Nothobranchius furzeri: one gene and its partner. The protein of the gene in region 2 purifies or fractionates together with the protein of the main gene of each other region. This does not show direct contact. Links are inferred from orthologs where the notes say so. Each region holds a gene or a part of one and is shown on either strand. Other genes may lie near its edges. The genes, in order: ubxn2a and ppp1r7.

The links.
Region 1: the proteins of ppp1r7 (region 2) and ubxn2a purify together in Homo sapiens (affinity purification with mass spectrometry; 3 studies listed by BioGRID and IntAct, counting the BioPlex papers as one, with this or other methods). This does not show direct contact. The link is inferred for Nothobranchius furzeri from reciprocal best matches to the Homo sapiens genes PPP1R7 and UBXN2A.

What each region holds. Positions count from the first base shown.
Region 1 is NC_091742.1:21,868,036-21,872,433, forward strand, and holds the end of ubxn2a (UBX domain-containing protein 2A), read right to left. Parts: intron 3,978-4,398; 5' UTR 3,959-3,977; coding exon 3,915-3,958; intron 3,821-3,914; coding exon 3,718-3,820; intron 3,602-3,717; coding exon 3,492-3,601; intron 2,447-3,491; coding exon 2,303-2,446; intron 1,922-2,302; coding exon 1,760-1,921; intron 1,315-1,759; coding exon 1,131-1,314; 3' UTR 556-1,130; downstream 1-555. UniProt on the Homo sapiens protein: Acts to repress the ubiquitination and subsequent endoplasmic reticulum-associated degradation of CHRNA3 by the STUB1-VCP-UBXN2A complex in cortical neurons.
Region 2 is NC_091751.1:53,576,124-53,579,045, forward strand, and holds the end of ppp1r7 (protein phosphatase 1 regulatory subunit 7), read right to left. Parts: intron 1,676-2,922; coding exon 1,499-1,675; 3' UTR 785-1,498; downstream 1-784. UniProt on the Homo sapiens protein: Regulatory subunit of protein phosphatase 1.

The DNA of each region.
Region 1 (4,398 bases), on a different chromosome or scaffold from region 2:
GTGAAAGGGTATTTCTGCATTGTTGTCAGAAAAATAAAGATGGATACACTTTTTCTTAAATGGAAACAAATCCATATCAGTTCACAACCAGTCCTTATGGATCCCAAAGATGTGTTACTGATGAAAATCCTTAGTCTGACTTTAATGCAGCGATGCACCATCAGACCACACTAAATATAGTGTTAATGCTTTAAATTAAAAATAAATCTAAAAGCAAACCCAAATCAAACGAGCAAAACAGATTTGGGTGCAAATTACAGCAAATATGTGCTGAATAAGTGCTTAACTTTGGAGGTTTGTTAATGTTCTAGTTATATTTGAGGTTGTAATTTAATAGAATAGTAAAAACCAGCTTTCATTAGCAAATTTAACTCCAAATTAAAAGGAATTATTCAGACGTAACATTTTTATCCCATAAAAAGCTCAAATATAATCAGAGTCGACCTAAAGGCTGTTCTGTGGTCGGATGCTGATAAATCTCCCTTCACTGGTTTTTTGGCTCTTCTGAAGAGCTCCAAAGTTGTTGTTTTTTGGGGAAAACAAAACAAAAATGTACACATTTTAAAAGATTTTATTGTGTTACACAATGACTCGTGACGTCCATTTTAACGATTCGGTCAAACAACAGAACTTTTATAAACGACTCCTTTAAAAACAAACAAAAAATAAAACAAATGCAAAAAATAAATCACTCTAGAAACCCAAAAAACATCCTTAAAAGCAGGCAGACATAATACGGTAAGATAAAAACAATACGTGGTCGATAAACTGTAAACGTAAACCTATCAAACCCTTATTTAAACTGCAAACAGTGCATAAAGTAGTAGTCAGAGTTTGGGAAGACTTAGCTTATCATAGTTGCATTGTGGGTGGGGGTGGGGGGGAGACACTTGTTTGTCCTGTTCGAACATTCTGGGGTTTGGAGATTATCTTTGTCCTCCAGGAGAACACGACAGCATCCTCTCAGCAGCACTTAGTGACAGATCTGGTGAGTTAGCCTGCAGCTAATCACCCACAAACACCGTACGGGAACGCCGGCCGCCAGAGGCGGCTCAGGCAGCACAACAAACACCATTCGAGTCGCAGGACAGGGAGGCGTGCCGTGAGTGAGACTCCCGAGTCGGGACAGGTCACGAGTGTCCAAACAGAGGGTGCGTGATCAGGGGTCTCTGGACGATGACGGCGTGGGCCAGGTCTGCCTCCTCTAGACTCAGGTCTTTGTCGGTGAGCTCTCGGTAAGGGAGGGATGTGGTCAGGATGAAGGGTGGGCAGCTTCTCTGGCAGCGCGAGGCGAAGTCGTGAACATCAGCAATCCTGAGGCGGATTAGGAAAAGACACACAATGAAACCCAAATAGTCCCATCTGAGACTGCTGCTGCTGCACGTAAAACACCGTTCTCTGCCAAGCACTCCACTCCCCACGTGGTTTCATTTATTATTAACACCGACCCGTGTGTAAGAACGGTCCTACGGCAGCTCATCGAGACAAGCAGAGGACTGGAGGGGCTCAGCCCTCTGTATCCTTTAGCCTGTTATGTAAAAGCTGCATCCGAGTTATGCAATCCCTCACTGGGGATTTTCTAGATCTGCGCTTCTGCTGCTGCTTCAACTCAGATTATGTTTTTTACTGCAGCCCGGTGCATAGTTTAACCTTCATCAGACTAGACTAAAGCCCTTCCAAAACCCGTCACCACAAAAACAAGAGAAAAAAACCCTCAAACTTCCCTGCTATGTGTAATATTCTGGGATAACGGCCTCACCGATGCGATAGGTTGAACCTCTGGACCAGTCTCCGTCCGTCGGCCAACCAGATCTGCAGGGACGTGACAGGAAGAGAGTGGTCTAGTGTTACCATGGGAATAGGAGGAGATTCTCCATCCTCGTGCACAGATGGTGACCTGGCCACGACTCTGGGTGCCACGCTGGGAACGGACAGGGAGTAAACAGCAGATTAACCACCGGTCGAGTGTCAGCAGCACACGGAACGTGTTTTTATTTTAGTTTAAGCAGATTGTGACGTCTGAAGAGATTTATTTGTGCAGAATGTTTGGAAAAGCTGATGAACTAAATGTGACAAAAATGAGGTTTGTCACTTTCATTGCGATTGTGGTCAGTTTTGCTCAATGGGTCTTTAGATAAATGACTTAAGAGTGCCCCCTAGTGGTGGACAGTATTCTGGAACAATCTGTGCTTTTTAAAAATGGAATGCAGCCTTTTTAATGCACGTCTTTCAGATCTCCTATGAACTAGGGTTGGGGTTAGGCTGCATAACAACAGATTAGGATTATGTACTAGCAACAGACCTGCCGAGTCGGTACCCCCGCCCGCTGAAGGGGTGAAAGGCGGCGGCCTTCTTCTTGTAGACGTAGTTTTCCTCCGTCATGTCCTCCACGCTGATCTCCAGCTCCTCCTCTTCTGCTCTGCTCTCCCACTCGGCTGGAAGCTCCCTGGGACAGATTCAAAGTTCAGCTTGTTAACAAAACAATCCGTGAGACAAAGACACGGCCCTGATGAGATTACAAACACTGGCCGGTGTGACCCTAAAGGAGCATTCGGACATCGTTCTGGCACCTTCCTCCTCCAGAACCTAATTACTCTGGTAAGTTTCCACTAGTTCCTGGGTAGACGAGGCAACTGAAGTCTGCTGATGTGACAAGGCGGCTTCCAAAGTGGGTCGAGTTAGAATCTCTGATTCTGTCCCAGAGGCTGAAGGCTAGAGCAGCGGTTTCCTAAATGTTCAACGTTTGACCCACTAAGTAAAAATCAGACCCCAGCTTCTGCTGGATGGAGTAAACAAGCCGTGCTAATATGATCGTTTCCCTTTTATATCTTTATGTACTAAAAGTAAATATGTTGTCCTTTTCATCCAAATGTTGTCTTTATGTGTTTTTCTAATGTGCAAAAAACGAAAATCACAATAAAATAACTTGTTTTTGTTTAAATGTTTAGACTTTTGTGGCCTATTAGCAGCTTGATAGTCACAGTCATCCCAGTTAGGCTCCAAAGACGTCATGCTTGCTGGAGATCTTCTCAAGACCCTCTCACTTGGTGAACAGACTCCAAAGAGAATAAAAATAAAACACTAGCCTCGCTCTCCTGTGGTACGTTCGGCTGGAGGCTCCAGAAAGCTAGATCTAGATATTTCACCAAGTATTTCATTAAGGTTCCAAAGATGCTGATACTAAAAATGCTGATTTATTGTAATAGATTAATGAATTCAGTCATATTCCTTTTCATATGCCGCCATTCTTCACTCCTGGGGAGTTGTTTGACGCCACATGAGGAACACTTCTGCTCAGACGCATTAACAACAAGCTGTGAAACTTCCCAGACCGAGGAGGAGAGAACGCGACACCTCTTACATTTCTACCGGCTCAGAAGTTTATCGGCTTCATCTTTAATCTTTGTACACAAAAATAAAAATCAGATTTTGTATTTTTACTTCTCCATCTTGGACATATCCTGGATTAACCAGATTAAAAATAAACTCACCCTCGCTTAATGGCATCCAGGAACTCCTGATTCTCTGGCACTGAGTAGCTGCGGAAGTCTCCGTCGTTCACAGTGAAGCCGTCCTTCCACAACCTCACCACCATCTCCATCTGGGGGAGGGAAGGGGGGGAGGGGGGCGTGGTTAGTCTGAGTATGCGGCCGCACCTGGGGTGGGGTTAGCATCAGTAAATGAAGTGCATTGATAGGATTGGTGATGGTTTTAAACCTTGGACGTCCCCGAAGCATCGTAACAGATCTTCTCCACCTCATCGAGGAGGTCCTCTACTGAAAAACTCCGACTCATTGGAACCTCTTCTTCCTTCTTCTCACTGGAAACCAAACAGAGACGTGATAATTACCTGAACACAATCGGCTCAAGGGTCTTTAAGTGCAAACACTAGTTAGTGCACCGTGTGTTTTTACCATTGTTCACCCTCCTCGTCGCCCCCAGTGTCAGCCTCTTTCATGACGCTCTCTGTTTTCCATCTAAGTCAAAGCAAAGACACACACACATGCATGCATGCTGAGTGCTTGGATGAAAAGCAACTTCTTTTGAGTGATAATGCCTTCCAGCAAACTCAAAAGGTGTTTCTGTAGGAATGCGAGTCACAGACCCACCGGTCTGACCTGTGAGTCGTTAGCGTCATTGTTCCAAGTATTTCGGTCACATGTCTGAAGGTGTGAATGGTTGTGAAACTCTAGAGGAGAGCTGTAGGTGGTTGGGGTTTTTCCTGTGTAAACAGCTTTGTTCTTGATGCACTTAATCTTTCGTTTACTGTCCAAAACAACTCTATCAGATGTAGGTGGGGTTTGATTAGTTAAGTTTCTCCTTCACGAGGCTGCACTAGACCACACAGTTCGGCTTGTTTGGGTGTTTTCTCCTCAGGTGACCCAGGTTCTTTGTGCC
Region 2 (2,922 bases):
AAACAAAACAGTAAAATATCACTTTACAGGGGCAGGTGATGATGGTATATGGGTTTTCTACATTGTGAGATTCTAATCTGTATTTACATAAATAATTGTTTGACCAATTTCAATACACTGGATATAAAATTACATTCATGTCAGTAATGTATGCTTCTATTTATTGGGTTGATGGTTCATGGTACATAACAGGTAATAATTCTTACACTGGAAAGAGCTTATGGTTTTCTGATACAAACCAACATTTCATGTAATTTCATCACCAACTGAGTGAGATCAAATATTAAATCAGACTAATTACACAGATGAACACTGGTGCAGTGGAATCTGCTGAATCTGTCGTATACATCTAGGTGATCTCATCCCTGAGGGGGTAACAGGTCGTAAAATTTGTTGCAGGTAGTCTCAGGTTGATTTAAGCAATCTAATAGGGTAAAAAAAAACTAATTTAAACTTGATATTTGTAAGCAATCCTACATTGTTAAAGCTGAAACATGTTCAAATTGTATGCCAAACAGAGAGTTTATCTTACAATAAAACAAAAAATCTTTTGAGGAAGTCCAGCCAAGACTACAAATTCTAATTTAGTATAGACCAGGTTTTAAGTTTGTTGATAATAAGCGACGACTGTAATCAGGAAGGAGTTAAAGATAAAATAGTAAAATCACTGATTATCCATGTTTTTGGACACATTCTCAAAAGGGGTTTACCTACAACAGAAATGAGTCATCAGCTATCAGGTTTTAAGGAAAGGAAGCAGCTGGACAACAACAAAAAAAACATGTTAATTGACATCCATTTATTTTATGACACATTAGTAAGAAACCTTTATGCTAAAAACTGGTCATTCTGCAGGTAGCACTCTTCTAAGTTACTGTAAATCAGCATAGAGTTGATTTTTATTTTCCATTAAGGTGTTCTTTGTGAAGAACTGGGGCCAGGGCATTTCTGAGAAATATAGTAGAATCCAGGAGTCAAACAAATTTAGATTCTACTTTTTCCCTTTTACATTTTCCCTTCAGCATTAATCTTTAATTGTTCTTATTGTGACTCACAAGAGCAGCATCAAACCCTTACATAATTTTTATGACACTGGAACAACTTTAAGAATTTGTTCAACAAAAAAGGCTTGTTTCTTTTACCCTGATGGGAACCCTAATTGTATCCAACATGCAGAACAATAACAAAAACAAGTGCAGAAAGGAGAAAAATAAGCAGATGTGAGCATATGGTAGACTTTCACTTTCACAGTTCCAACCATAATAAATAAAAGCATCAACACAACAGCATAAATGAAGGTTTGAATGACTGCATACATGCATTCATGTATGGAGAGTGAAGAATGGGGTGAGTGTTGGAATGTGTACACGGTGAGAGGATGACATGGAGAGGCCAAAGTGTTATCAGGAGCTGTTTTTGTAAGCAGGGCAGGCAGGGAGGGAGGGAAGGAGGCGAGGCGAAACACAAAAAGGTGGGCGGATGGGTCGTACGCTGCGCTTCAGAAGCGGATAAAAGTAGCGTCGATCTGGCGCACGCTGGGCAAAGCCAACATGATCTTTCTCCGGTACTGAGGGTCTTTCTGTAGCGGGTTTCTTTCTAGGTAGACCGTCTCCAGAGACTTGGCGTTCTTCAGCTCGTCCAGATCTGACCAGTTGTCTATCTGATTATCATTCATCTGAGGGGGGATTTAAAAAAAACAAACACACAGCCATCAGCACCAACTGAATCAACACACACACACACAAAAACATTTTTAAACTCCTTCTTCAGAGGCGTTTAGGCAGATGCGTGATTTATGGTTTTCCAGTTTCAAGTGCGCTGACATTCAGTGAATCTTCACGCTGCCTGCGCTACGTCTGCACCCTCCAGCCTCAAAGGTGGGAGGAGAAATAAACACTGACCTCAGAGCCTGTGGCTACCCAACGACCAGCAGTAACGCGTGCGTTAAGCAGCGCGGTGTGTTGAAGCTGTCATCAGCTAAAGAGGTAGATGTTTTCATCCAAGCGCATCACGGCCCGTGAAGAACGAGGAAGAGGTGATGAATAGTCTACGGCTGCAGGTGTGGATCTGCAGCCGTGCCCTTCTGAGCGTGACAGCGGGACGTCCCGAAGGTCCGCTCACCTGTTCACCGCTCAGACGTCCCGATCTTCTACCTTCCTAGATCATCCAGCTGTAACCTGTTCCTGATCATGTCTTTAGTCCCGCTGTAACACTGATGCATCAGTCTCAGATGGCATGGAGCTCAGGTGTTATCAGAACTACCTGTGTGTGTTTACCACCCAGCTGCAGCTCTTCTGTGGTTGGGTCTGACCCAAGTTAGTACATTTAAGTCCTCCATCAGATTTGTGCCTCTTCTAGTGTCATTTTAAAGGATTTTTATTTATTTATTTAACCTTTTCTAGATTACCAGCAACAGAAATGCTACTAATAACACACAATTATGTGAAGCTGGAAAAATTAAAATACTGTACAACATTACATTTATCTCAGTAATTTAACTAGACTGAGAGACCATTTAAAGGCTCAGGAACCTTTACAGGTGTTTCTATTTGCAATTTTAAATTTTGACTGATTGGGGTCTTGTTAAATATCACACAGTGACCTTTTAATAGTCTAGATAAGTGTAATGTTCCTGTTAGTAGTTCCTCCTGTTAAGTGCTTATTTATTTAAATTATTCAGGTTTATAAAAGAAAGCATTTGGACATACACTTTATTATGTTCCAGGCATTAGTCATTTATATTTCACTATTGTAGTCATTTATAGTAAATAAAGTAAGTTTAATTAAGAGGGGAACCCATTTTTCTTGTATTCTTTAACGAAAAAAGTAACCAAGTAGTTATTTTTCTTGGTAATTAGTTACTTTTATAATCTCGTAACTTGGTAAGTAACTGAGTTACTTTTTGACAAAGTAATTAGTAAC